Linked DNA regions of Lepisosteus oculatus. The main gene of each other region encodes a partner of the protein of the gene in region 4 in a complex. Links are inferred from orthologs where the notes say so. Each region holds a gene or a part of one and is shown on either strand. Other genes may lie near its edges.

Evidence for each region.
Region 1: arid1b (region 4) and dpf3 share a complex: the UniProt entries of both Homo sapiens proteins name them as parts of the neuron-specific chromatin remodeling complex. The link is inferred for Lepisosteus oculatus from reciprocal best matches to the Homo sapiens genes ARID1B and DPF3.
Region 2: arid1b (region 4) and actl6b share a complex: the UniProt entries of both Homo sapiens proteins name them as parts of the neuron-specific chromatin remodeling complex. The link is inferred for Lepisosteus oculatus from reciprocal best matches to the Homo sapiens genes ARID1B and ACTL6B.
Region 3: arid1b (region 4) and smarcc2 share a complex: the UniProt entries of both Homo sapiens proteins name them as parts of the neuron-specific chromatin remodeling complex. The link is inferred for Lepisosteus oculatus from reciprocal best matches to the Homo sapiens genes ARID1B and SMARCC2.

What each region holds. Positions count from the first base shown.
Region 1 is NC_090703.1:15,138,307-15,146,125, forward strand, and holds the start of dpf3 (zinc finger protein DPF3), read left to right. Parts: upstream 1-4,814; 5' UTR 4,815-4,842; coding exon 4,843-4,874; intron 4,875-7,819. UniProt on the Homo sapiens protein: Belongs to the neuron-specific chromatin remodeling complex (nBAF complex).
Region 2 is NC_090698.1:10,092,545-10,100,262, reverse strand, and holds the start of actl6b (actin-like protein 6B), read right to left. Parts: upstream 3,013-7,718; 5' UTR 2,771-3,012; coding exon 2,746-2,770; intron 1,255-2,745; coding exon 1,178-1,254; intron 692-1,177; coding exon 526-691; intron 1-525. UniProt on the Homo sapiens protein: Involved in transcriptional activation and repression of select genes by chromatin remodeling (alteration of DNA-nucleosome topology).
Region 3 is NC_090696.1:19,696,002-19,703,584, reverse strand, and holds the start of smarcc2 (SWI/SNF complex subunit SMARCC2), read left to right. Parts: upstream 1-4,574; 5' UTR 4,575-4,585; coding exon 4,586-4,696; intron 4,697-7,583. UniProt on the Homo sapiens protein: Involved in transcriptional activation and repression of select genes by chromatin remodeling (alteration of DNA-nucleosome topology).
Region 4 is NC_090697.1:11,354,849-11,362,254, forward strand, and holds the start of arid1b (AT-rich interactive domain-containing protein 1B), read left to right. Parts: upstream 1-4,399; 5' UTR 4,400-4,866; coding exon 4,867-6,243; intron 6,244-7,406. UniProt on the Homo sapiens protein: Involved in transcriptional activation and repression of select genes by chromatin remodeling (alteration of DNA-nucleosome topology).

The DNA.
Region 1 (7,819 bases), on a different chromosome or scaffold from region 4:
CTGGACACCAGTCCATCGCAGGGCCCACACACGGACACACGCTCACATCTGGCCAAATTATATCAGAAGCCAATGAACCCAGCAGTATGTTTGTAGAGTGTGAGAAGAAACCGAAGCACTCAGAGGAAACCCATATAAACACAGGGGGAGCACACAAACTTCCCGCAGATATCACCCCAGGGCTGGAGTTTAAACCCAGGGCCCCCAACGCTGCAGCAGAGCAATGCCAACTACTGTGCCACAGTGCTGCCCTCTGTTCTCTTTAAGACACCAAAAATAATGTGATAAAATAATGCGAGTTTTTTAAACGTTTGCAAAAGGACAAATAAAAAACACAAAAGGAACTAAATTCTTAACTCATTCTATGCTCAGTTTGAGGTCAGTAACGCCGATCCAGCCAGGAGGACTCCAGAAATCCAGGGCAAACACCCACTGATCATATCCAGAGCGGATGTATGTAAAGTTTTTAAAAAGACCAATCCACACAAGGCCCCTGGCCCTGATGCTATCACTGGCTGTGTTCTGAAGGCATGTGCAGAGCAGCTGGCAGATGCCTTCTCGGACATATTCAATCTTTCTCTAGCTCAGTCTACAGTTCCTTCCTGCTTTCAGAAAACCACCATCGTCCCTGTCCCTAAGACACCCAGAGTCAGCTGCCTTAATGACTACCACCCCGTTGCACTCACATCAGTTATCATGAAGTGCTTCGAGCAGTTGGTCAAAGCATACATCACCTCCTCACTGCCTGACACTCTAGACCCACTACAATTTGAGTATCGCCAGAACAGGTCCAACAGAGAATGCTATTGCCACTGCCCTTCATACTGCCCTCTCACACCTGGATAAGAAAGGAAGATATGTGAGAATGCTCTTTGTTGATTACAGCTGAGCATTCAATACCATAGTGCCCTTGAAGCTTGTCATCAAGCTCCAGGACCTGAGAATGAACACCTCCCCTTGTAACTGGATCCTGGACTTCTCAACAGAAAGTCCGCAGGTGGTGAGGGTGGGCACCAACATATCCTCTACCACGACTCTAAACACTGGAGCCCACCAAGGCTGTGTGCTTAGCCCTGTCCTCTACTCCTTATTTACCCATGATTGTGTCGCCAGGCATAACTCAAACTCCATCATTAAGTTTGCGGATGATACAACAGTCATCGTCCTGATCACAGATGGTGAAGAGTCTGTGTACAGGGAGGAGGTTGAAACCCTGGCAGCATGGTGCCAGGAGAACAACCTCTCTCTGAACATCAGTAAGACTAAGGAGAGGATCTTGGATTATAGGAAACATCAGGGAGCAGGTCACATACCTATTCATATCAATAGAAGTGAAGTGGAGAGGGTCAGCAGTTTTAAGTTCCTGGGAGTTAACATCACTTAACCTGGACCCACCACACCAACACCGTGGTCAAAATAGCACGGCAGGGCCTATTCTTTCTCCGCAGGCTAAAGAAGTTTGGCATGCTGTCACATATCCAGGCCAGCTTCTATACAGTAGGTGCACTATTGAGAGTATCCTGACTGGTTGCATCACTGCCTGGTATGGGAGCTGCTCCAGTCCAGGTCCATTCTCAAGAACCCCAGTCATAAACTGTTTTCTCTCCTACCGTCCGGTAAACGGTATCAAAGCATCAAAGTCCAACAGATTACGGAACAGCTTCTACCTCCAGGCAATAAGACTGCTAAACAGCCAAGCTGCAGTTCCTTCAGCAAATCACCCATAATGGCTACATGGACATACAGTTTTCACTGTATGCAGCATACTGCACTACTTGGACATAATATATTGCATAAACCCTGGACACATAGCAGCTCTATTTATAGAGTTTTGTCTGAGTTTATTTCTATCGCACTATTATCTGTCATCATGTAACCTTATTTTGTCACTTTAATTTTGTGATTTTTACCCCCCCGGTGAGCTCATAGATAAGACATTTCATTGCCAGCAACTACTGCTGCATGCTGTATTGTTGTGCATTAAATAAAGAAACTTTGATTGATTGATTGACAACAGCATAGCGGTTAGCGCTCCCATCACCTTCTGAAAGGTGCCTCTTTCATGTTTTCCCTGTATTCACAGTGATGTTCTCCAGGTATTTCAGGTTCCTTACACCACCCCGTGACAATACTAATCACTGGTGTCTCTAACGTGTGTCACTGTGCTCTCTGAAAGACTGCCGTGCTGTCCAGGGTTTCTCCACTGGGCCCAAGCATACCATCTATGCCTACAGGATAGGCTCCAGGTGGCGGGCTGCAGAAATCTTGGGAGTTTTCAAAAAGCCCATCCTGAAGCTGTTAAAATTTGAACCATTTCACAATTCTGATATATTCTTGCAACATATTTACATATTTCCATTCATCGAGCAACAAGAATTATTGGATGAAGATAACTGTACATAAATTAGCTCCATCAAGAAACAGTAAGGTGCAATCAGTCAATGTACACTGAATATTCAAGAAAAAAAGGGAATTGCTCATTACTTGTATCAAAAACCCTGTTACTGATTTGATGTTTTCTAATCTTAGACCGGTATAATTAAAAAACATTCTAACCTCATTAGTAGGGTAAAGGTTTGGATTCATAACTCGATTGTTTCATTATGAAATATGCAGGTAAATCACTGAATACATATAGCCAGCTGGTGCTGGTAAAATAATTGAAATAAATACTACGGTTATGATTAAACGTAATTTTGTTTAAAGAACTGAACATCCATGGCGTTGACCGTCAGTGAACGCTAGCAGTCCGTCAAAGACAAGACCATCAATATGCATGTAATTCATGGTGTATTTGCGCGTACCTATCCCTTAAAATGAGATTCTGTTTCTGAGATTCTGAGTCCCGTTTCTTCTTTGTAGATGAGAATTATTTTCCCTCAATTGACGTATCTCTTGACTAATTCCCTTATAAAGCAAATGAAAGTATCTGAGCAACTACTGTAATAGCTTCATACAATCATACAATAAATGGATAAGTGATGGCAGCCTATTCTAGGATAAAAGATAACACAATAACGTAAATTTCAATCGGTACATATGCCACCGATATCGGACATAGTACACTTCAGGTTTATGGCGTAAAGGTTTACCTTTTGAGCTGACAGTGTGTAAATGAAGTCCCACTGGTATGTGTTCACAGAAAACACCCTTAACTACGTAAACGTACCGCAATCACTTCACATCACTTAAATTACTTCTATTTTTTGTTGCCAGTATCGTGCAAAACAACACTCAATTCCAATCGTAATAAGGTAAAATACCCATTACAGCAAAACTAACAAAGGGCAGCTGTAATCCTATCAAAATCAATATGAAAGGATAAGCAGTTGTTTATTAAAATATATTAAACGCACAGTTATAGTGGTTCACATACTGTAGCTACATATTTTAACTAAATTTCAATCATTGTGAATATCTCAATCGTAATCATGAAGTATCTACCAGTTGTATTTAAGGATTTTAATCAATGATCCTATTTTCATAAAGCCCCTCTAAAATACACATCTAAAAAGATACAATCCCCTCAAAGGTTGTCCAAACTATAACAAACAAAGTAAAGTCCATTGATCAGAACTTTAAAATTACCAAATAACATTAATAAAAAAATATTTAAAAGACAGCAACATTCGCTTTTCCTGTTTTACCTGCCACAACGCTGCAACCACGTGATGTTCGCCAGCCCCGCCTTTCGTCTCCTATTGGTCCATCTCTGACGCTGCGTGGCGTCCTGGAGCACGTGATTGACTTCCCTGCGTATCAATTACACTGGCGGCTTTGCTGTTTTGCTCTGAGCACAGAAGTGTGTCCAGTATTGTAATGTGGTAGTACTGTTGGCTCGCATGAAACAGGTTCTGTGCTATTTGAGAATTAAGGTAAACAAAGGATGTTAATAACCGATCATTAAAAAGGTAAAACACGACACTGAAAAAGGAACACGTGTATTAGTGTAATATTTAATTGAAGTCGGTGTTCTCTGTGACTTCATGAACTGAATTTAATGCTTGAAGGCAGTTTTGCCGTTATGCTTTCTCACACTGTATTTTTTATTTTATTTTTGTACAACATTTTAACAACTCCCCGCCTCCGCACTCACAGTTGCGTTTTGAGTCAATAGCTTTGCGGCTGGTACGTCGTTATTGCTTTGTAATTGTAACTTTTGTCCCCAGTGTTATTGATCTGCTGACCCGAGTTGCAAATCTTTTACGAACTACAATATGCCTCTTTCTCATAGAAATGTAGACACTCAGCTTTTACATAAAAACAGAAATGACCAATGCTGTGAGTTAAATGAATTTTGTATTGTTGACTTGAAAATGCTGAACATTTGTGTTGCATAAATATCCAGGGACGTCAAATACGAATAATAGATTTATTCGCTGCTTCTAATAGCTGCTAGGAAAGAAGCACACGAAAAGAGCTTTATCATCCAGTGATGGAATTGGAAACAATTAGTTTGTTTTAGCCATTAAATGTATTTTAATGAAGATAAAAGGAATAACGGGTACGAAACAAAGCAACAACCCCTCGTCCCCTCAAACTGAGTATGGGTGATAAGATAATTAGTACTTTTATTTGATTTAGTAGGGACTCAAGTTAACAATACGAGGATAGTTTTTGCTTTGTCTCTTTAAGAGATGAGGTATCCAGTTGGTCTAATGTACAAAAGAGCGCACCCCCTTCGAATGGACTTGACAGTTATTCTCGTAGGCCACGCCTTATCTTGAATTTCTTATTTCGGATTGGCCAGTGAGTCGGACACGTTGGCGCTGATTGGACGTTTTTTTCGTAGGGTTCCCTCAGAACTCTGAGACACAGAATATTGGGTTACAGTGTAGCAAAATGGCGACTGTCATTCAGAATCCACTCAAAGCGTAAGTAATTCTCAAAATTTAATACAGTTATAATTTGCGAACTTTTCTGTTTCTGTTTTTGAGCACCGTGCAAAGAAAGGCAACACAAATAGAAACTCACAACAGAATGCAGTTGTTAGGGCACGCGTACGTTTTGTCTTGTGTTATTTTTCCCCATACATCTTGACAAATAATAATTTAAATAGTTTTGTATTATTATTTTTGGTGCGATACGTAGAGTGCAGCATGATCACGCTGGGATAAGCAGAACGTGTTGCAAAGCCGTTGAACGAATTCTAAAAAATGCCGAAATAAGACATTTATACAAACGGATCGCGATTTCGTTTTTATCAGACTGTACACACAAAAAATAAAAAAGTTAATATTTTCACTCTTCGTTGTACTTGCAAAGCGCGACAGCTGTTTTCCGTGCGAAAATCGTATTGTTCATGTAGGAAAGTCTTTTTGCAGGATTAAGCATATTGACTCATCAGAACTCTTTTTAAAATATATATAACCTTTGTGCAGAACCGCTGATTATTTCCGCAGGTCCTTTGCTGCATGATTGTACTTTTTAAAAAGTTTGTTAACTAGGTTTTCACGGAACAGTCTGATACGCTCTATGCAATAGACTTTCCTTTTAAACGCCGTTTGATAATCCGGTTTCTTGCAAACTCACAGATTTTACCATAATTATTTCACGATGGTTCACGGATTCTAAACATCAAAGCAGTAAATGTTTTTCTGTCACAGGAAAAGCTTAAGCCATTCGGTATGACCATAGCATTACAACGAGATTCGGGTTTAAAATTTATCTTTTGGTCTGTGCGTGCGTTGCTCGTATCTATTCCCCACAGAGCAGGAAAACAGGAGGTCGCTTTCTCTGGAGGTGTGAACTGCTGTTATTGGTGGGGGTGGAGGATAGTTGAAAGATTAGATTGCTGAATCGACTGTTGGCATTTACTGTATGAAGATGACATCAAGCAAATGAGCAGATTGTTAGTTTCAAGGGTAAACGGGATTACCTAAGAATTAAATGCTACCCTTTGTCCCAGACACGACTTTGTAGATGCTGTTAGCCTGCTATTAGTATTACCCCTTTTGTGGAACATATAAATTAAAGAGTGCTTTTCAGAAAGTTTGACTAAACTCAGAGACTTGTAGCAAGATACCGCCTTGAGTCGTGACTAGTGGTGGTTCTGATATGTTTTTCGAACGCGAATGGCTTCTACTAAAAAAGATTCTTACATTTAAAATGCCAAACTACAAATATTGTCAATCGGAAAACAAAATGTTCATTACCGTCGCGCCTCGCATAGTTCAAGCTTCCGACTGTTTACTGTTTTCTTTTAAGTGTAAAGGTTAGTTATCTGTGAGTTTAAATGCAACATTTCCTCATTTTAATTTTTGTTAAAGTGTAATTCAAATGGTAAAAAAATATATACGATATAAGTATCATTTTGCAGAAGCTGATAGCTGCTTATTATCCAGGTGTGACATTTTAAGTTAGGATGAAAGTAAGCAGACTTCAGCGTATTGTAACATGCATGTATCTGTTACATTTCCAGTTAGAGTGTGGAGGTAAGTAGGAAACGAGGAAAAACATAATTATACTTAGTTTTTTCTAACTTTGTGAATTTGCTAGTATAATAATTTACTGGGGCCTGAAAAAATGATATTTGTATAAAGGTGATGATGCACATATGTTCGTAATGTTGTCATTTACATGCTGGGATTATGCCCACATCTAGACCCAAATCAATAATCAACAATTTAATAAAAATGGACACGAGAGCTTGTTTGGTTGACTTTCTTAGGTGGAAATGCCTAAACCACAGAAGGCAAACCCACGTTCAATACAGGAAGGAATATGGTTGTTATAAAAAGACAGGAGGTCATTCAGCCCAGGTCATTGGTTTTTAGTAGCTGATTGATCCAAGGATTTTATGCAACAATTTCTTGAAAGAAGCCAGGGTATCGACTTCAACAACATGGCTGGGTAGTTTATTCCATATTCCCACAGCCCTTTATTGTTATAAAGTCCAGCCTGATTTCAGTTTTAAATTTACTTCCCCATGGTTTCTACTTGTGTCGTCTTGTTTAGTACTGATTCTGGAGGAGTCCGTTGGGTTGACTTTTAAATACTGTACTTGAATCAGGTTTCCTTGTAGTTTTTTTGTCAAGAAATATTATTTTCTGTCAGCCTGTGAGGGTAGGACATTCCTATGAGCTCCGGAATATAACTGGTCATTCTTCTTTGGAACTCATTTCCTCCATATATATACAATAGTGTATTGTATCAGGAGATGACATTGAATTTAGCGTTTCCACCTATGACTATAACTTAGGATAATAAGGAAAAGTGTTTGAATTCTTATGGAAAGATTAATCCAATGTGATCCAAAGTGTGTAACGTAAAAATAGTTTTTCTTCTTTTTGCTAATTCATTTCATTTATAAATGTCACTATTTTCAAATCAATAATGTCTTCCTTCTAGTGCTTGAGTGCTTGAGTAGGGGGTTAAGTATCCTTTTAGGAAGTTAATTATTTTTTTAGCTTTAAGGAGAAAACTGAGTAAGTTTGAATGAGGTTTAATAACTTAAGGGTGTCAACTGCTTTTTTGAAAAATCTATTAAAAGGGTTGAAGTTTATCAATTCATTTCTTTGCATTCTTTAAAGTCTCCTCTGGCAGTACTCTTTTTAAGGCAATGTTTCAAGAAAATCATGAATTGGGCTGCTTTTAAGGCTCTGTAACCTGGTGTGCCCAAACAGTGAACTGTCTGTGCTTTAGCCCTTTGTTTTATTTTCATTCTTTATGTATACATGAATCCCGAAATATTCATTTATCATGTTTTCCTTGTGATATTTGAAAAAAATAAGATTAGCTCAAAAGTGCACATACACAATTTGACATTTAAGTATGTAAACAGTGGATAAAGGCAAGCAGTCTTTTTAAATAAGGTAGA
Region 2 (7,718 bases), on a different chromosome or scaffold from region 4:
AGCATCGACAGCGCCGGCGTCATTAGCGTGACCGCTGTAGGAGCAGGCCTGGATCAGTACTGCAGTGTCTCAGTATCCGTACATATCAGCTTCAGTGTATTACCAGTACCTGATCATGTCAATTTCGGTGTGTACCAGTTTCTGTACATACTAGTCTCCATGTGTATTACTATCATATTTCAAATCTCGACATAGTTTCAGTATATATAGATCAGTACCAGTATTATCAGTATCTGTACATATAATTTTCAGTATAGATAAGTATACGTATGTATCATTTTCAGTTCAAAGCATATTAGTATGATTATGTATTGATATATAATTAATATTTTATATATTAATTGTATATTAATATGTAATGATATTATATATTGAGTAGGACACATCAGTGCAGACTGCAGGAGCGACACTCGGAAAGAGTGTTTTCCCCGGCTGGCCACTAGGGGGAGCCCCCCTGTGGTTCGAAGGTACATGGCTCCTATTGATGAAGCTGCAGTGGGGTCGTGGGCAGGCGGCATCACGCACTCATGCCGTTCTTCAGCGGGGACACCAGCTCCACCCCGGGGCGGGCCACGTGCAAGGCGTTGGTGTCGATGTAGAACGTGCGTCCTGACGACTTCTCCTTGTCCGCCCCCAGCTCCGCGCCCCCTTCCTCCTGGGCCAGCACTCCCAGGGAGGTGGGGAAATCCGCCTGGGCAGAAGGAGAGAGGGAGGGGGGGGTGAGGTGAGGCCAGCGCGAGAGACAGAGAGGGGGAGGGGGTGAAGGGGACAGTGGGTACGAGGTGAACGGCAGTGCTGCTGGAGGAGGGCCAGCGAGGCAGCTTGACCACTGCAGCGCAGTGGGGCTGGGACCTCACATGGCAAGAGGCCATGGGGAACGCCCTGCTGGCGACGTGGACAAGTCAGGCTCACGCCAGGGCCCGCCGTGCGGGGCTGTAACAGCGTCCAGACAGAGCCCAGCCCTGAGGTGCCCCCTGGCGTGCACTCTTGTGAACCACTTTTCTCATAGTCCCAGTTCTACACGGATCACGATGCACTGCTCGGGGGGGGGGCGGTTTTTCACTGCGTGCTGGAAGGGGCTGACTGGCACTGGAAAACCAGCAAGTGTTCAGCTTATCCTCCGGGCAGGAATGGCCAGGGCGGAGAGAGGGGTGAGCGGGCAGGAGCCGCGCGGTACCTTCGGGCAGTCCTCGCCAGCGTAGCCCGCCCTGGTGGAGAACGAGCCGATGTCAAACACCAGAGCCCCGACCTCATCTGGGGAGGGAGAGACAGGGAGAGGGAGTGAGACAGGGGCACTCCTGGAGACAGGGAGAGGGAGAGACGGGCAGAGAGGGAGTGAGACAGGGGCACACCTGGAGACAGGGAGAGGGAGAGACAGGCAGAGGGAGAGAGAGACAGGGGCTCACCTGGAGACAGGGAGAGAGAGTGAGACAGGCAGAGGGAGAGAGAGACACCCCTCTCTCAGCTGCAGGTAAGGAGGTGTGGCTGCTGAGCTCTCTGTCTCGCTGGGACCAAGTGGTCCTCGAACCCTGAACCCTGACAGGAATCAGCCCCATGCTCAGCTCCAGACGATCCTGCCTGAACCTGAACCCGGGGACCCCAGCCTGCTGGGTGAGTGTTCCCACTCGTCACTGGTCCTCTGCAGTTTAGCCCAGTTGGACATGACTGGAGCAACAGTCACAGGCTGGGCAAGGGACAGCGGGAGTTGGGTTGCTCAATAGCCATTCTTTCCCCAAGTCATCCGGATGATTTGGAGGGATTCCAGGGAATCTCCTTCAACAACAACAACAACAGCGCTGGGGCTGCTGTTCCACACCCTCACCAGCCTTTGTGTAAGGATGTGCTCCCTGTTCTCAGGCTTGTCTACACATCCTGGTGGGGCTGCACATTGGTGGTGGTGGAGGGGAGTCCCCATTACCTGTAAAGCGCTTTGAGTGGAGTGTCCAGAAAAGCGCTATATAAGTGTAAGCAATTATTAATTATTATTACACATCCGGTTGTGCCGTCGTGTTCCTGACATAGAACAATGTTCTGGGTTCAGGCTGTCAGCAACTGACAGTTGAATTCCTGAACAGCCCCACCTCATAGTCCCCTACAGCGCTGCAGACCACTGAAGAGACTCCGTTCCTTTAACGCATCTGCGGCCGACATTCCCCAATCCCGACACCGTTTCCCCACACGCGCGTGTCGGGATGGACTTGACCCCACGGAACCGTGGCTTTTCCTGCGATGGGAGGTCACCCACGCGGGTCCCCATCCCCTCGCGGGTCCCCCTGTGTCGCCGCACGCTGCCCCGCTCGCCCCCGGACCCGGCGACACAGACCCCGCCACTGGCGGAGACCCCGCTGACAGCAGCGCCACGCACACGGACACAGTGGACAGGCAGTGGAACAAAGACACGGCCGTGGGCACGGGTACGGGTGAAGGCGCAGGCAGCCGCGAGCACCGCTCTGGACCACAGACACCGATGCGGACACGGATGTAAACACGGGCACGGAGGCAGACGCGTTCAGCAGTATATCATCCTGCTGCTCAGCCTCTCGAGTCTGCATTCCGGTGTCGCGATACACGCCAAGTGTCGCACGACATGGACGCGGCGAAGCTCGCGTCCGCCCGCTCGCTCTCTCCCACACCCCCTGTCTCGCTCACGGGGGGGGGGGGGGGTTTATCTCCCAGCCTCGGTCCTCAGGTGTCACCCGTCTCGGAAACGGGTTTTTGCGCGCAGACGAAACGGTCGCTCCTTACCTCCTCCGTACACTCCGCCGCTCATACCGGCGCCTAGACCCACCCCCCCACAAAACGAGCTGTCACATCAATTAAACAGAAACCTGAAAAAAAGAGACAGGAGGTCAGGACAGCTCGGATTTGATCAGATATCCCTAATGCGTAACTGTCGGGTGAAATTACAAAGATCTGTCTGTACAGGAAGGATTTGGGGACGGGGGTCTGTGGATGACAACTGTGCAGAATAAGGCGAAGCTGGACGGCTGAGGCTCGCGCCCCCCCCTCACGCACGAGCACACTCGCTCTTTCTCCCGCTGTTGTTCTTCCTCAGCCCACCAATCACAGCGCCGTGTGGACGCACGCCATTGGGTGGCAAGAAGAAATGGGTGGGCGGACAGGCTGTACCTTAAAGGTTCTGGTCTCCAAGGCAACGAGAAGAATTAATTTCCCCCGACTTCAATTTGCCCGTATTATAACAGGACTGTTCTCCTGTACTGGGACTGTAGCCCCTATTGTAACAGGACTGTTCTACTGCACTGGGACTGTAGCTCCTATTGTAACAGGACTGTTCTCCTGTACTGGGACTGTAGCCCCTATTGTAACAGGACTGTTCTACTGCACTGGGACTGTAGCTCCTATTGTAACAGGACTGTTCTCCTGTACTGGGACTGTAGCTCCTATTGTAACAGGACTGTTCTCCTGCACTGGGACTGTAGCTCCTATTGTAACAGGACTGTCCTCCTGCACTGGGACTGTAGCTCCTATTGTAACAGGACTGTTCTCCTGTACTGGGACTGTAGCTCCTATTGTAACAGGACTGTCCTCCTGTATTGGGACTGTAGTCTCTATTGTAACAGGACTGTTCTCCTGTACTGGGACTGTAGCTCCTATTGTAACAGGACTGTTCTCTTGTACTGGGACTGTAGCTCATATTGTAACGGGACTGTTCTCCTGCACTGGGACTGTAGCTCCTATTGTAACAGGACTGTTCTCCTGTACTGGGACTGTAGCCCCTATTGTAACGGGACTGTTCTCCTGTACTGGGACTGTAGCTCCTATTGTAACGGGACTGTTCTCCTGTACTGGGACTGTAGCTCCTATTGTAACAGGACTGTTCTCCTGTACTGGGACTGTAGCCCCTATTGTAACAGGACTGTTCTACTGCACTGGGACTGTAGCCCTTATTGTGACAGGACTGTTTTCCTGTACTGGGACTGTAGCTCCTATTGTAACAGGACTGTTCTCCTGTACTGGGACTGTAGCTCCTATTGTAACAGGACTGTTCTCCTGCACTGGGACTGTAGCTCCTATTGTAACAGGACTGTCCTCCTGTATTGGGACTGTAGCCTCTATTGTAACAGGACTGTTCTCCTGTACTGGGACTGTAGCTCCTATTGTAACAGGACTGTTCTCTTGTACTGGGACTGTAGCTCATATTGTAACGGGACTGTTCTCCTGCACTGGGACTGTAGCTCCTATTGTAACAGGACTGTTCTCCTGTACTGGGACTGTAGCTCCTATTGTAACGGGACTGTTCTCCTGTACTGGGACTGTAGCTCCTATTGTAACAGGACTGTTCTCCTGTACTGGGACTGTAGCTCCTATTGTAACGGGAGTGTTCTCCTGTACTGGGACTGTAGCCTCTATTGTAACAGGACTGTTCTCCTGTACTGGGACTGTAGCTCCTATTGTAACAGGACTGTTCTCTTGTACTGGGACTGTAGCTCATATTGTAACGGGACTGTTCTCCTGCACTGGGACTGTAGCTCCTATTGTAACAGGACTGTTCTCCTGTACTGGGACTGTAGCCCCTATTGTAACGGGACTGTTCTCCTGTACTGGGACTGTAGCTCCTATTGTAACGGGACTGTTCTCCTGTACTGGGACTGTAGCTCCTATTGTAACGGGAGTGTTCTCCTGTACTGGGACTGTAGCCCCTATTGTAACAGGACTGTTCTCCTGTACTGGGACTGTAGCCCCTATTGTAACAGGACTGTTCTCCTGTACTGGGACTGTAGCCCCTATGTAACGGGACTGTTCTCCTGTACTGGGACTGTAGCCCCTATTGTAATGGGAGTGTTCTCCTGTACTGGGACTGTAGCCCTTATTGTGACAGGACTGTTCTCCTGTACTGGGACTGTAGCTCCTATTGTAACAGGACTGTTGTCCTGTACTGGGACTGTAGCCTCTATTGTAACGGGACTGTTCTCCTGTACTGGGACTGTAGCCCCTATTGTAACGGGACTGTTCTCCTGTACTGGGACTGTAGCCCCTATGTAACGGGACTGTTCTCCTGTACTGGGACTGTAGCTCCTATTGTAACAGGACTGTTCTCCTGTATTGGGACTGTAGCTCCTATTGTAACAGGACTGTTATCCTGTACTGGACTGTAGCTCCTATTGTAACAGGACTGTTCTCCTGTACTGGGACTGTAGCCCCTATTGTAACAGGACTGTTCTCCTGTACTGGGACTGTAGCTCCTATTGTGACAGGACTGTTCTCCTGTACTGGGACTGTAGCCCCATGATGGGCTCAGAGTAAGTTTGGTTTATCATCGCGTGGTTCATTGGCACATTCTACGTCGATAGCCGCATTCCGTCCCCTCAGTGGTCATCTCTGCCTCTGATTGGACAATTCCCCCTGTCAGTCTGGAACAATGCGGTCGTGGTGGGCGTGTCCTGGCAGACTCCGAGAGGAGGCGGACAAGGAGGAAAAGGGAAGAGGGGGGCGGTGTGGAGCAGAGGGGGAGCCGCGAACACTTAACCCCTGCGGCGCCGGAGGCAGGTGACGCGGTGGGTGTTTTTTTTTTCCGGTCCCGCTCCAGAGGAGACGGGGAGGAGGAGAAGGAGGGGGGGAATCGGTCACTCTTGTCCTGGGGTGGACGGTCCCGGGAAAGGCCCCCTGTGTGTGAGAGAGGGAGAGAGGCACGGGCGCGGATCAGGTAAGAGACGCCGGGCGCCGGGCAGCGAGATGACGAGAGGAGCGCAGTCACTCGCGGATCGATACGGGTGCTGCCGCGGTCTCCGTGGGCAGACCTGTCAGTTGCTGCTCACGAGTGGGCGTCCGGCTGGATTGGAAAGTCCGACTGTGTCCGGATCGCGCTCATTATAAGGAGAGCAATTGGGCAGGTGGTTATTTTCGGGTGGGTGTGTATTATTTTCTGCCAGGGTGTCCCAGTCCTGCAGTCCCGTAAATACGCCGCTATTTCATCACCGATTAAAAAGGCGACGCTGTGCTGGAGTGCCCCTCGCCTCCGGCCCGGCCTGACCGGCTGCTTTCTCGCTCCGGGGCATCAGTATCCCTGACGGGCTGGGGCAGATCGTGTCTCTGGGTCCCTCCTGCTCCAACTGAGGGTCCAGTGATCGGCAGTGTGTGTGCATGTACAGTATCTGTGTGTCAGTGTGTGTGAATTCTGTGTGTGCATGGTGTCAGTGTGTGTGTGAATCTGTGTATGTGTGCATGGTATCAGTGTGTCAGTGTCTGTGAATCTGTGTGTGTGTGCATGGTATCAGTGTGTCAGTGTGTGTGTGTGAATGTGTGTCAGTGTGTGTGCATGCATCTATGTGTGTGTATGCATGGTATCTGTGTATCAGTGTGTGTTTGAATCTTTGTGTACATGTACAGTGTCCATGTCAGTCTGTGTCACTGTGATCATGTATATATCTGTGTCAGTGTGTATTTATTTGTCATACTTGTCAGTGTATGCATGTATCTGTGTGTGAGTGTTTGTCCCTGTGTCAGTGTGTGTGTGTATCTATTTGTGAGTGTATGCATGTATCTGCGTGTGAGTGTGTGTGTCTCTGTGTCTGTGTTGGTCTCTGTGTCAGTGTGTGTTGATACCCATGTCACTGTGTTAGTGTGGATATCAGTGTCAGTGTGTGTCTGCGTCAGTGTGTGTCTGTGAGTCAGTGTGTGTGCACCTCTCTGTGTCAGTGTGTGTCTGTGAGTCAGTGTGTGTGCACCTCTCTGTGTCAGTGTGTGTCTGTGTCAGTGTGACGGGAGGCAGATGTCTCACAGAGTGCACACAATGGGTTGTTCTCTGTCTTTCCTGTAGGGGGCAGGGTGAGGAGCAGTGGTTGACAAGGCTGTCTGACCCTTTATCGAAGGGCCACAGCTTTGGAAACGGGTGAGGTGGGATGGGGTGAATTGGAAATCGATTATAGCGCCCCCTGCAGAGAAGGAATCCTGCATATTTCTGGAAGGCTGCTCTGTGATACCTCTTCCTTCTCTTTTGTGCTCTGGACATTATGCTCTCTGTATACGCGAGGCTGTGTAGACTGAGAGAGAGGTGTATTGGAATTTGTGTTTCTGTGTCATTGTGTGTTACCATGTCTGTAAGTGCATCGGTGCTTGCATTTGTGTATCTGTGCACTTGTGTATGTCTGTGCGTGTGCATGTCTGTGGGCTTGAGTGTGTGTGTGTGTTGGACTGATTCTCTCTCCTTCCATCAGCCTCTGCCCATCCATCCAGCCTAGAACCATCGCTAAGGCTGTTGCTAAGCAACCCAGCCTCCGTTACTACACTCCCTAATGAGGCAGCCTGGAGAACTTGGCAGGTGGGCCATACCATTACTGAACAGGCAGGGGGGGGGGGAGGGGGGAGGAGTGTGCTGCTTCTGAAAATATAGGAGCTACCTCCCGTCTGCAGTTGCACATGGTCTTCTCATCCCTTCCCAGCCCCCCTCAACTGAAGAGGAGAGGCGATGGTTCATGGAGCCATGCACACAAAGAGGCAGGTCATATACAGCAGTGGTCATGAAGCCCCCCCCCCGTATCAGAAATGCAGCGGCTCGCCGTCTGAGTTAGTAGGTCCTGTGTGTCGAACTGCACTGGCGTGGCAGTGATGCCTCCTCTGAGTTTACTGAACGCTCACTCATGCCAGCCGGCTGCAGCTGAGCGCTCCAGTGGGATATAGAGGCCTGTGTGCCTCTTTCTGTGTGTGATGATCCATTGATATAAAGTTGCTGACGGACATTTGGGAGGAATGACAGCAGC
Region 3 (7,583 bases), on a different chromosome or scaffold from region 4:
GTGACTGTCCTCTGTGATGGCCAGAATTCTACCACGGCAGCGGTCCTCATAGAGCTGTTTAATCTCGGTGAGACCGCAGCCGATGATCTTCTGGGCCACATTGACCATTCTCTCCAGTGCCTCTCTCTCTCGAGAAAAGGTGTTGCCATACCACACGGTGATCCCGTTGGTGAGGATGCTCTCGATGGTGCAGCAGTAGAAGTTCACCAGCACATGTATTGGCATCCCCCACGACTGGCACCTCAAGAAATAAAGGCGTTGCTTCCTGATAGAGTCAGTGTTCACAGTCCAGGTTAGATCTTTAGAGATGTGAATTCCCAAAAACCTAAAGCTGGTGACTGTTTCCACTCCGTTCCATCAATACTGAGTGGGCTGTGAGTGTATGGCCTGTGTCTCCGAAAGTCCACTATAAGCTCTTTCGTTTTCTTTATGTTCAAGTCCAGGTTATTGCTATGACACCACCTAAGCAGCTGTACAACTTCATCCCTGTAAGTGGACTCGTCATCATCACTGATCAGTCCTATTATAGTGGTGTCATTGGCAAACTTAATGATGCGGTTGTTGCTGTGTCTTGCTGTGCAGTCGTGAGTAAATAGGGAGTACAACCTTGGACTCAGACAGCAGCCTTGTGGGGTTCCAGTGCTCAGGGTGAGTGGTGATGTTTTATAGCCTATCCGCACCACCTGTGGTCTCTCGATAAAAAAGTCCAGCAGCCAGTTGCAGACAGAGTTGCACAGACCTAATCCCCTGAGCTTTGTCACCAGTTGACTGGGTATGATGGAATTGAATGCTTAACTGTAATCCACAAACAGCATTCTCACACACGAGTTCTTAATGTCCAGGTGTTCCAAGGCTGTATGCAGAGCCAGGGAGACAGCATCATCCACTGATCTGTTGTTTTGGTAGGCAAACTGCAAGGGGTCCAGGGACTCCTTGCAGTGTGACAACACCAGCTTCTCCAGGCATTTCATCACCACAGATGTTAATGCTACTGGGCGGTAATCATTCAGGCATGTCACTTTTGCCTTTTTGGGGGTTGGAACAATAGTGTTTTTTTTAAAGCAGGTGGGGACCATGGACTGTGACAGGGAGGAGTTAAAGATGTCCGTAAACACTGTGGTCAGCTGGGCTGCACATGTCCTCAGGACGCGAGGTGGTATCCCATCAGGCCCTGCAGCCTTATGGATTTTCACCCTGCTCAGAGTCTTCTGCACGTCCTGCTCTGAGAGTTTCAGAACAAACTTGCCCTGCACACTTGGGGTCTTCTCAGCATTGCCCATGTTCAGAGCATCAAAGCGGGCATAGAAATGGTTCAGCTCGTCAGGCAGGGATGCGTTGTTCGTGTCAATCTCCTGGCTGCAGCCCTTGTAGCCTGTGATTGACTGTAATCCCTGCCACAGCCTCCGGGTGTCAGCGCACTGCGTTTCAGCCACAGGCACAGACCCTTAGCCACAGAGCCACCATTCCACCCCAATCCCCCCTGCACCCCCATGTCGTGGCCAAATTTCCCCCTGTCCTTTACCAATCATGGCCTCCTAATAATCCCCATCTCTGAACTGGCTCCATCACTCTGTTCTCCCCCCCCACTGAGAGCTGGTGTGTGATGAGCATACTGGCGCACTATGGCTGCTGTCTCATCATCCAGGTGGGGCTGCACACTGGTGTTGGTGGAGGGGAGTCCCCATTACCTGTACAGCTTTTTGAATGGAGTGTCCACAAAAACACTATATAACTATTGATTACTTATTTTTATTTGTATGTATATTTTTATTTGTATATATATATGGCCAGCAGCCATATCACCCTGCAACTCACAACTGGCAGCCCACTGAAGCTCAGCAGGTGTGAGCCTGGTCAGTACCTGGATGGAGACCTCCTGGGAAAAACTAAGGTTGCTGCTGGAAGAGGTGTTAGTGGGGCCAGCAGGGGGCGCTCACCCTGCAGTCTATGTGGGTCCTAATGCCCCAGTATAGTGACGGGGACACTATACTGTAAACAGGCGCCGTCCTTCGGATGAGACGTAAAACCAAGGTCCTGACTCTCTGTGGTCATTAAAAATCCCAGGGCGCTTCTCGAAAAGAGTAGGGGTGTAACCCCGGTGTCCTGGCCAAATTTCCAATTGGCCCTTACTAATCATGGCCTCCTAATAATCCCCCTCTATAAATTGGCTTAATTACTCTGCTCTCCTCCCCACTGATAGTTGATGTGTGGTGAGCGTTCTGGCGCACTATGGCTGCACACTGGTGGTGGTGGAGGGGATCCCCATTACCTGTAAAGTGCTTTGAGTGGAGTGTCTAGAAAAGCGCTATATAAGTGTAAGCAATTATTATTATCTCTGAAGAAGAGAAGTGAACAAGACCTGTTACAAAGAAGAGCCCCTCAGCCCCTCTGGCCCGTTAGGCAGTGAGTAGCCAATTGATCTGAGGAAGTCATCATCCAGCTGCTTCCTGAAAGAAGCCGGGAAATTAGGGTCAACAACATGGCTGGACAGCTTGTTCCATACGCTCTACACAAAGGGTTGTGGGAGTGTGGAACAAGCTACCCAGCCATGTGGTTGAAGCTGATTCCCTGGGTTCTTTCAAGAAACAGCCGGATGAGATCCTCATATCAATGAGCTAATAATTGCCACACGGACCAGGTGCGTGGATGTCCTCCCATTTGGAATTGGTCACATTCCACTAAAGACACTACCAAGGTCTGGGCATAAACCCCTCATCTGTAATCTGTGCTTTCTATTAGTAAACCAGTTCCAAATCCAGACACACATTTCCCTGAAAGCCTGATGCCCTAATCTGGAAATTAATATTTAATGATGGAACTTAATCGAAAGCCTTCTGAAAGTCTAAATACACTCTTTCCTAAGCTCTGTGCGTATCCAGTTCTGCTGTTGCTTGATCAGAGAACTGTAACAACTTAGTCACGCAAGGCCTCCCTGGTCTAAGTCCTGTTGTCTATTCCCATGGGTATTATTACCACATACTGCAGGCGAACCTTTACTTTGGGTCTGTTACCTTCTTCTATATCTTGTAGGTAATAGAGGTCAGACTTATCGGTCCATATTTACCTACAGGGTTCAGTCACCCTTCTTAAAGAGGGGTGCTATATTGGCAGCTCTCCAGTGCCTGGGTGCGACCCCTCCCTTGAGTGAGCGTCCGAAGAGTTGTGTCAGCGGCTTCTGAACCACATTTCTCATTTCCTTCAGTGAAATCGGTACAATACCACTGAGTCATGGGGATTTATTCATCTTTCGTCATTCTAGTACTAAAAAACACTTCTGCCTCTTCTGGACAAAGACACCCATCCGCTTTCTACCCACTTCATGAGGCAGGGTACACCCTGGACGGGACGCCAGTCCATCACAGACATACACACTCACAGCAGGGCCAGCCATGACACAAGCCACCAGCATGGCTTTGGACTGCGGGAGGAAACTGGAGCAGCTGGAGGAAACCTACAGGAACACGAAGGAAACATGCAGACTCCACACAGACAGCACCCCAGGTCTGGAATTCGACCCTGGACCCCAGTGCCAGTGGGCAGCAATGCTGACCAGTGCCCCAGCGTGTCACCCTGTGCTGACAGAACTGAATACAACTGTGTGCTTCCTCACTGTGTTACTGAGGCAGGCTTCCTCCTTTAGGAGCCCATCGGTGCAGCAGATGTCGATAGATGTTCTGTCTAGATGATTCGGGTCCCATAACAGCTTACGGCACAAGTTTTGGGCAGAGCAGTGGCTCTGTGGCTAAGCATCTGCGCCTGTTGCTGGTTCAAATCCTGCAGCTGGCAGAGAAATCCTACTCCGTTGGGCCCCTGAGCAAGCCCCTTAACCCCAGCTGTTCCAGGGGTGCTGTGTAAATGGCTGACCCTGCGCTCTGACCCCCAGCTTCTCTCCCTGTCTGTGTGTCTCAGGGAGAGCAAGCTGGGGTCTGTGAAAAGACAAATTCCTAATGCAAGAAACTGTACATGCCCAATAAAGTGATCTGACCTTATCTTGGCACATCAGCTATTTCCCTGGTGCTGTCTATTGTCCATTATTGTCCCTGATAACATATTACTTCATCCTTAATAGTTCTGTTACTGCTCTTCTGCATTCAAGGGGGACTATTGTATTTTTCACTGTTGTGTACCCACAGTCAATCATGTTCAGTCAATTATTTAAATGAAGACTGTCCTTTTCTGACCTTAAAACTGCACGTCTGTCACACACTCACTTACACATGGCAAAAAAAATAAATATTTAGTGCTAAAAAGCTCGTCTTTCCTCCTCGTTCTGTTTATGACACCAGCAATCATTTTTTTTTTGCCTATGATAAAATCCTCTATGACGAATTAATAAAGACGGTATTTCACGAGGAGAGACGATTTATGTGAGAAACTGCGCGGCAGGATGCGCCATGTTGGATCTAACTCCTTCCTTTTTCACTGTGGGGGTCTGGCCGCGGTACCGGAGCCAAGATGGCGCCAGTTTCGCCTCGACCTCCTCTCCCTGGACGCGGCTGGCCGCAAACCCGCAGCGCCGCCGAGCAGCCGCCAGGTGGCGCCCGATCCCCCTCCCCCTGTTCTGTCTACAGGCGACCCAGCAAAGATGGCGGTGCGGAAGAAAGACGGCGGCCCGAATGTTAAATATTTCGAGGCGTCCGATACGGTTTCGCAGTTCGACAATGTCCGCATTTGGTTGGGCAAGAATTACAAAAAGGTACCTCTTCATTTTCCCCCCTTTTTCAATGCCATGTCTGGGTGTTTTTTGAAAAAGAGCTCCGGAGACCAGGGGGCTGGGTGAGGCGGGGGGAATTCTTGAATCCGGCTGAGCGATTCAGCCGAGACACAATGAGAGCCGCCCAGAAAACAAAAGAGACCCCGATGTTATTCTCCCCGTCATCCCGGCTGCAGGGGTGCGACCCCTCGGGCTGCCGGTTCGGGCGCGCGGAACGAATCGCAGTGCACAGCAGGGGGCAACCTGTCGCGTTTGAGCCGCGGCGTGTGTTTAGTGTGTTTGCGTGCGTGTCATTCCTTGATTTTGTCTGTTTTCGCAATTTAACTGGCAGGCGGAGATTCTCGCCAGCTGTTAACATCTGGCAGCCCCTGGCGTGTAGCCAGCGGTACTGCACGGCGGCGGGGGGAGCCGTGCGTGTTCTGAGATAACGGCTCTGACAGCCGTGGCCTCCTCCCCTCGCCCCGTCAACACTGCGGGGTCGTGTGGTGCGGGAGTTTCGCGTTTCGATGTTGCGCGACAAAACCTCAGCGCTGTCACAGACAGACACACACACGCGCGCGCGCGCGCGCGCCCCCTCCCACGCGAACAGCGCCCAGCCCCACTCAGCCCCCGGCTCGGAGCGCGAGGCTGCCGAGCGGCCAGATGTGCTGTCCTATCGCAGCGCGTGTGTGCTGCGTGAAGTGATTCACGCGCGGCGCAAAGTGGAGAAACGCACGAGAGGTCAGTGCTGTACTCTACTATACAGTGCAACCTCCTGCACACTGACTGACTGATATTGAAGATTGATCCTGGATGTGCTGTAGTGTTCAGTCAGTGTCTCTGTACTGTAACTGTACTGTGTAGTAATGTGCTAAACTACAGTGTCCGTTAACATACTAGAGTATTTTTGAAGTATTCCATTGTATGACACTTTAGGGTGATGTACTGTATAGTGCTGCGTATTGCTTTACGCAGTCAGTGTGTCTGTATTAACCCCTCTCTCTCAGTGCAGTGTTAATGTACTGTAGTGTCCAGTCAGTCAGTGTGTCTGTATTAACCCCTCTCTCTCAGTGCAGTGTTAGTGTACTGTAGTGTCCAGTCAGTGTGTCTGTATTAACCCCTCTCTCTCAGTGCAGTGTTAGTGTACTGTAGTGTCCAGTCAGTATGTCTTGATTAACCCCTCTCTCTCAGTGCAGTGTTAATGTACTGGAGTGTCCAGTCAGTGTGTCTGTATTAACCCCTCTCTCTCAGTGCAGTGTTAGTGTACTGTAGTGTCCAGTCAGTATGTCTGTATTAACCCCTCTCTCTCAGTGCAGTGTTAGTGTACTGTAGTGTCCAGTCAGTGTGTCTGTATTAACCCCTCTCTCTCAGTGCAGTGTTAGTGTACTGTAGTGTCCAGTCAGTCAGTGTGTCTGTATTAACCCCTCTCTCTCAGTGCAGTGTTAATGTACTGTAGTGTCCAGTCAGTGTGTCTGTATTAACCCCTCTCTCTCAGTGCAGTGTTAATGTACTGTAGTGTCCAGTCAGTCAGTGTGTCTGTATTAACCCCTCTCTCTCAGTGCAGTGTTAGTGTACTGTAGTGTCCAGTCAGTGTGTCTGTATTAACCCCTCTCTCTCAGTGCAGCGTTAATGTACTGTAGTGTCCAGTCAGTATGTCTTGATTAACTCCTCTCTCAGTGTAATAATAATATAATAATAAACTTTATTTTATATAGCGCCTTTAAAGGTGGCTTCTCAAAGCGCTTTACAGGATGACAATAACAATAAATAAGAAGACTACAACAATAAATACTGTTAGTGTACTGCAGTGTCCAGTCAGTGTGTCTGTATTAACCCCTCTCTCTCAGTGCAGTGTTAATGTACTGTAGTGTCCAGTCAGTATGTCTGTATTAACCCCTCTCTCTCAGTGCAGTGTTAATGTACTGTAGTGTCCAGTCAGTATGTCTGTATTAACCCCTCTCTCTCAGTGCAGTGTTAATGTACTGTAGTGTCCAGTCAGTATGTCTGTATTAACCCCTCTCTCTCAGTGCAGTGTTAATGTACTGTAGTGTCCAGTCAGTGTGTCTGTATTAACCCCTCTCTCTCAGTGCAGTGTTAATGTACTGTAGTGTCCAGTCAGTATGTCTTGATTAACCCCTCTCTCTCAGTGCAGTGTTAATGTACTGGAGTGTCCAGTCAGTCAGTGTGTCTGTATTAACCCCTCTCTCTCAGTGCAGTGTTAGTGTACTGTAGTGTCCAGTCAGTGTGTCTGTATTAACCCCTCTCTCTCAGTGCAGTGTTAGTGTACTGTAGTGTCCAGTCAGTCAGTGTGTCTGTATTAACCCCTCTCTCTCAGTGCAGTGTTAATGTACTGTAGTGTCCAGTCAGTGTGTCTGTATTAACCCCTCTCTCTCAGTGCAGTGTTAATGTACTGTAGTGTCCAGTCAGTGTGTCTGTATTAACCCCTCTCTCTCAGTGCAGTGTTAGTGTACTGTAGTGTCCAGTCAGTGTGTCTGTATTAACCCCTCTCTCTCAGTGCAGCGTTAATGTACTGTAGTGTCCAGTCAGTATGTCTTGATTAACTCCTCTCTCAGTGTAATAATAATATAATAATAAACTTTATTTTATATAGCGCCTTTAAAGGTGGCTTCTCAAAGCGCTTTACAGGATGACAATAACAATAAATAAGAAGACTACAACAATAAATACTGTTAGTGTACTGCAGTGTCCAGTCAGTGTGTCTGTATTAACCCCTCTCTCTCAGTGCAGTGTTAATGTACTGTAGTGTCCAGTCAGTATGTCTGTATTAACCCCTCTCTCTCAGTGCAGTGTTAATGTACTGTAGTGTCCAGTCAGTATGTCTGTATTAACCCCTCTCTCTCAGTGCAGTGTTAATGTACTGTAGTGTCCA
Region 4 (7,406 bases):
ACAAGCCTGCCACCAGGGGGCTTTTCTGATTTTCCAGATACTAATGGTTGTTGACATCTCTGCAAATACAGTATACAGTGTACAGGTCTGCTCTCAGTATCCATCACCTGCCGACTCAAGAACCGAACAGCTGAAAGATCTTTGAAAAGTCTTTAAGCCAAATCTATTTATGCTTGACATAACATATGCATTTACACACGCGTTTCTGTTACGTTCTTAAAATAAAACTGTCCAATGTATATTTTGAAATACATGTCTGCAATGCTTTTAAATAACCAATAACATTATAAGATGTGGAATAATAACAAATGAAAATTAAACTTTGTGATTTAGATATCAAGATAGGCATATGTAGAAGAAATAATGTCATACCATGACATTAAAATGAAATTGAAATGAGTAAACAATATTTTCTTCAAAATAAGTATTTTACAGAGTTAATTGTGAAAGAATGCAAACACACTTTAAATTTCAGAGAAGCTCTAAGAATGTAAATTTTGCACAATTGTTCCACTGAAGCAATTGGACAGTTCTAATCCTCGTCTCACTGCTCTTATATTCTTGGACAAATACTGTAGCTAATGGGCAAAGTGTCAGACAATAAGTTCCTGAAAGATTTCAGTCATTTATAGCTATTGATCCACCATAAAACAAAACTTACTTTCAGCTGGAGAAGTAAACAAATGTTCTTCTTGTGTTTTACTAATTCCACGATGCCTTTGAATGAATTGGTGTTCATTAGAATCCCAGAGATGTTCCAGAACCTAATAATATTTCTGGAACAATCCAAATGAATCATCCCTACCTGCATTACAGCGAGAGAGGAGAGTATTTGCTCTGTGTGCATGTACACTGGGATTTGTGTTTGCGCTGTTCTCTTGGAACGTGCACAGTAAAATAGACAACACTTTCACACAATGTGAACAGTACATTACAAAACAGTAATAGTACCACAAAGCACAACATACAATGGGTAGTGCAGAACAATAAACACACAGGACAATAAACACATGATAGCCAAGTAGTAGCAGTTCTCTTTATATAGGGCTTGTCATACTTTACAGGCCCAGTTAGAGGCTGGGCCTGAAGGAGTGGTCTACACAGAGAGGCTGAAAGAAATGAAACGATTTTGTCTTGAACACAGGCGACTACAAAGTGTTTAAAATCTTCAAAGGCACAGGCCAAGACAGCCCACTGAACTTCTCGAGAAACAGCAGTGAAACCGCAACCAGAGCACACAACTGGAAACTACAAGGACAAGGAAGTCCTGTACATGTGCACCCCCTGATTACAGGAGGGGCCTCTTAGACACAAGGGGTAGTAGTGGGTGTCTAGAACTTCGTAACCGAAGCCGATACGTTGAGATCTTGAGATCATCGAATCAATTAGCTGTTAACTGCCAAACATAATAATAATTGCTTACACTTATATAGCACTTTTCTGGACACTCCACTCAAAATGCTTGACAGGTAATGGGGATCCCCTCCACCACCATTGTGCAGCCCCACCTGGATGATGTGACGGCAGCCATTGTGCACCAGTACACTCCCCACACACCAGTTATCCTCCCAGGCAGAGTAGAGGGATGAAACAACTTCATACATGGGGATTAATGTTAATGTTTTTTTTAATGTTTCTTTATTAGCCCTATACAATTTCTTGCATTAGGAATTCGTCTTTTCGCATACCCCAGCTTTTCTCCATGGAGACACAGACACACAGACAGGGAGAGAAGCTTGGGGTCAGAGCGCAGGGTCTGCCATTGTACGGCGCCCCTGGAGCAGTTGGGGTTAAGGGCCTTGCTCAGGGGCCCAACGGAGTAGGATTCTGATTCCTCTGCCGGCCGCGGGATTTGAACCGGCAACCTTCCAGTCACAGGCGCAGATCCTGAGCCACAGAGCCACCTCTCCGCCCATTATGTGGAGGCCATGCTGGGGGAATTTGGCCAGGACGCCGGGGTTACACCCCTACTCTTTTCGAGAAACACCCTGGGATTTTTAATGACCACAGAGAGCCAGGACCTCGGTTTTACGTCTCATCCGAAGGACAGTGCCTTTTTACAGTATAGTGTCCCCGTCACTATACTGGGGCATTAGGACCCACATGGACTGCAGGGTGAGCGCCCCCTGCTGGCCTCACTAACACCTCTTCCAGCAGCAACCTTAGTTTTTCTGAGCGAGTTGCAGGGTGATGTGCCCAGGCTGTTAAACCTGAAGGCAGCTTTACCAGTAACACTGTGTTCCTGTTTATCATGCTAACACGTATTGACAAAATTTCTCTTTTGTCTCAGCCAACGGCTTTGCCTCAACAGGTCGTGTTTTGAAAATATGGCGCTACTGCTGTTGCCCGTGTCAACAACCCATCCTGGTTTGGCCCAGGAAACTGGTTTTATCCTCCTCTGCAGGTGTCTTGTTCCCTTGCCCCCTTCTGATCACTGAGACTAGTCACCTCAGCCAGGCAGGAACGGCAATTAACCTTCCCGCGTCAGCAGAACCCAGCGGGCTCGGAATCAAAATGACTCAGGAGCCTGAGCTGCGCTCGTTATTATATTTCACAGCTTTTGGCTGGGTGGTGGAAACACGCGCGATTCAATCGTGCAACGTGCGCGGGACTTCTGCTGTTGTCGGTTTTGCTCGTCGGGTAGGTAGTAGTTAGAGAGCAGTCCCGGGGAGAGCGGGAGAGGACGTAACCCGGCAGAACAAAAGAGGCATCTTTAACCCGGGGATGACGTCACCTTCGTTCTACTGACAACTATGATGTATGCGCGGCGGCTGTGAGCAACTCCCCGTGCTTCCGTTTCGTGGAAGAAAAAAGAGATTTATATATATATATCGCTAAACCTACAGCAGGCCCTGCGTTTAAAGCGTGATGAGAAACGCAGCGGGCGTCCAGCTTCCTTGTTAGGCAAAAGTGTGTTCTCTTGTTATGACACGGTCGACCCGAGACACGGTTTGAAGCGTTCAGCGGAGGGGGGTGGACGGAACAGCACGCAGGCAGGGACTGAGAAAATGCTCTAAAAACTAGGAATGTTGCCGATTATAAAGGAGGGATGGAAACGCGTTTTATTTTTAAGTTGACGCGTTTCGCCACGGCTTTTCCTGCCGCACGGTTCCCAGCCGTAGTCTGTCGTTTCTTGGCAATGCAACGTCCCCGACTAAAGTGTTCCTAACTGTTTAAAGTTACTGGTTATTCTGTGTACATATTAAAGCTGAGATCCTGTGATTGCGTGTGATACTGCCTGACTCTTCAGAGCTGCAGAAAAATGAATTGAGCCTGGGGGAAAGGAGACAGGGAATACGTGGACTGGAGCTCCGAGCACGGAGCACGGATCCCCCAGCCGAGGGATCGTGGACAGCAGGAGTCGGGCGGTCGCGGTTACAGTGTCATAAGGTTTAGTTTGAATGCCGAATTTGACCAAATACGCTTGCTATTGTGACGAAAGCATTTCATTTAAGTGTAAAATTAAATTGTAGTTTGTAGGTCGTTATTTTAAAACGCATATTAATGTAACTGCTTCAAGGAGACATACACTTCACACTTAGTAGCAACTTGGTACCAAAAGTCATTAAAGTACTGTAAACTGCATGTATGCCAAACACTACAAAACTATAGGGATGATGTTGTGTATGTACTTTACTACGGTAACCTTTTGAATAGCGGCCTATTTACGTACTCTCTTCTGCAACACCCTGATATTCTCGAGATAATGGAGTTCAAAAAGTGCAATAATAATAATAAAGATATTGTTCATTTTACACTCTGCTTCCTACTCGACTGAGAGGCTGTTAAAAGCACAGAAACCAGTCTTTGAGGGGTCTTTTGTGTGGTCTGGAGATGAACAGCACACACACACACTCAGAGGAAAACTGGAAATGTGTAAATATACCTTTAAAAGCCGGTTCATCGTCGTGTTGCTCTTTGTGGTTGAGAAAGGCAACTATGAAAAACCCCTCTGCCTCTGGCTAACATTCTGTAGGAGGAATACTTCAAAACATATCAAAATCACAATTTTCAATGAAGATTTTAAAGAGTTTCAAATCAAGACTCAAAACCTTTTTTAGAAGGACTTTTACTTAAACCGGGTCTGTTATGTACCTCTTTGCTCCTACTGTAACCCCATATACTACCTCTTCTCCTTTGCACACTCGTGCTTATATTTCATGTTTTTTTTTAATTTTGTTTTGTTGTTGCACAGTGAGGCGCTTTGAGAAGCCGCTTTTAAAGGTGCCAAATAAAAATAAAGTTTATTTATATATATGATTTAACCAGCAACGTGTATGGGGGGGGGGCGTTTGTTGTTAATACCCCACAACATGATCGAACCGACTTCCCCCGGCCGTTTTGGAGAAAAAAAAACATCCTTGATTTTACTCCGTAAAGAGTAAATCTGCGTCAAACACGTCCCAGGCTTGCGCGTACACCGCTGGCTGGTCAACGTGGGATTTGCCAGCCCGGTGGGTGAGGCTAGAAATCCAGTCCGCGTTTTCCACGCGAATCGCAAGAAAGAGCAGGATAATAGTTGCAAGAGCCCTCTCTCTCTCTTGTGCCATGCTGGGCGAGAGAGACACAGGGAGACATGCATTTACCCATATCCGGGTTAGAGAGGAAAGGAAGAAAAGTTTCATTTAAAACCTGGACAAAAACTTTCAACATGAAATCACACCGCGGGAGCAGGCAGAGCCAGTGAGACAGTATCGTTTCCGAGTACAGCCAGAACTTTACGGTTTGCGGGATATTCGTTCATTTGAGCACTTCTCTCTTGTTTTTTTCTCCTTTTTTTCCTCCTTCTGTGTGTTTTTTTTCTTTTTTTTCTCCCTCTTTTTTTTTCGGTCTAAGCCTGTTTGGATTACTGCCTGAAATGTTGAAATGATCATGGCCGCGCAAGTGACAACATCTCCGGCGACGACTGGTAGTAAAAATCCCAATTTATCCGGCGGTCTGAATCAGGATTTAAACTCTGGGAAATCGGGAGGGGGAACGGTACAGGGATCGGGAGCAATTCTGGGAGTTGGAGATGGAACTAACACTATGAATAATGTAGATCACCACCACCACCACCACCACCATAACGAGCTGAGCATGGCCAATACAACTTCTTCTTCTGCAAATAACACTTCGGACTTGCGAGAGAAGGAGGGCGTCAATAGTGCTGCATCTTTATCTTCTTCAAATTCGGCTACTTCTTCGAGCATGGAGACGGGTTTGATAGCGAATCACAAACTGAAAAATGTTGGTGGCGGAGATCCCCCTCCTCCGTCTCACCATCACACACCGACACAGCCCCAGCCACCACGATTCAGTCAGTTCCAGCAGCTCCATTCACACCAAATCCAAAACAACAACATCAACAACAACAGCAACAGCGGCGGCGGCAACCAGGCGCAGGTACCGGGGGAAGCGGAGAATCGGCAACATGGAGGGAAAGAGCATATTTTGGGAAACCAGGTCGGGCAGCAGCAGCCGCTGCTGAATAAAAGTGAAGAGGAGGGCCGTGCCTGCAAATCGGGGGATCAGATGGGCAGCAGGTACGAGCACGCCAACTTGGGACCAGCGAACAACAACAACAGCAGCAGCAACAGCAACAACAGCAGCCAGCCCCAAAGTGCTGGGGGGACGACTAGCACTGTTCCCGAGTTTAATAATTATTATGGCAACGCTAGAGGAGGCCCTTGCTTTGATCAACATGGCGGACAACAAAGCCCTGGGATGGGGATAATGCATCCTTCGGCTCCCAACAGCATGGATTCCGTTCAAAACTCCCACGAAGGGTACCACAACAGCCAGTACAACCACTACCCGAGCTACCGACCGGGCTACGGCGGCGCAGGCTATGGGATCATGAGCTCTCCCAGGCAGGGGAGTCACACGCTGATGGGCCCAGGCAGCAACAGCCACAGCAGCGCTGCTGGCCATGGCAAGATTGCTATGGCTGCTGCCTCGGCTCCTGGGGGCAGCGTGGGGGGGTTTCAGAGGTTCCCCGGGCAGAGCCAGCACCCGTCCGGGGCCACCCCGACTCTCAACCAGCTCCTGACGTCCCCCAGCCCCATGATGCGGGGCTTCAGCGGCGGCGGCTACCCCGAGTACAGTGGCCCCGCCGCGCCGCCACAGCAGCAGGCGAGCGTGGGGCTGGGCAAAGACGCGAGTTCCCAGTACGGGTCCACAGCCCACGGCTGGGGAGGACATCAGAGAAATCACCCTGTCATGAGTCCTGGCAACACTGGACAAGTTATCAGTAGACCTCAGGTAAATGTTTCTCGGTTTTGTACGGCGTGCTCTCGGGAAGCTCATGCTGAAGGTCTGTGTTTATCGTCTGGTTGTAGTTGCAAAACCTAGTGGGTTCGTCATGTCTGACTTTTTTTTAACGTGCTGAGCGCACATTTTTTTCTCCGTGTAACTAAATCAAATGGCTGTTTTCCTCTCTTCCCCTCCTTTTTCTTTTTTTTTTGGGGGGGTGTTGTTGTTGCTTTATTTCGTACCGGCTTGGCTGCTGCTACTGTTGTTGTTGGCGGTGTTTTTTCTTTAAAATATCTGGATTTATTCGCGTCCACCCCTCTCTCCTGTGATGTCGACTGTTATTAGATTTTAAAGTTAGGACGGGGGCTGGAAGTTCTGTCCAAGGTGACTTACGTGATCGCAAATGCACAAAAGATCTTCATAATAATCAGGTATTTGAACGTAAACGCACCCGTGTCTTACGTTATATTACTGTTTACATATATTTTACAGCTTTTTTCCCCCGTCCTTCTTTCGTTTGATCCTCGTGGAGGATTACGAATCGTCCCCAGGAACATTCTCGTCCGCCGCTTAAACTTATAAAGTATTATAAATGTGGCGTGATGAATATTCATAAATCGGATGTGTCCTTCTTGTATAATATTTTTAAGTACATTTCACTCGCCTGCGACTGGGAAATTATATGATATTTAAGAGATCGGCCGTCACTCTTTGAATCTCAGGCCCGTCCTGTGGCGAGTTGTGTACTAACGTGCGTTTTACATACGTGTATATTGGGAGAGGGGGGGGGATAAAAACACACACACACAACGAGGATTTCGCTCATTATAATAGGCTTGCTTTTCTTTAATCAACTTGCCGTTAACGGCGTACGGGGCCGTCTTTTAAAGCGACGTTAAATGGGCAGCGCGCAGGGCCGGGCGGTCGGTGGGTGGCGGGCCGAGCCCCGGCATCGCCGTAGTAAAATTTTCGCGGATCGATAACGTCGATCAAGTCAATAACGACTGTGGCCTCTCGGGTGGAGGACCCCCCCCCAGAAAAACAACAAATAAACAGAAGAAAGGCAGGCGGGCTGTATCAGACGCGGGCGACCTGCGCTCTCCGCCGGCGTGAACCCCGGCGCGGTGCGGGGAGCTGCCGACGAGCGCCCGGCGGGCCGGCCGCGCTTGCGA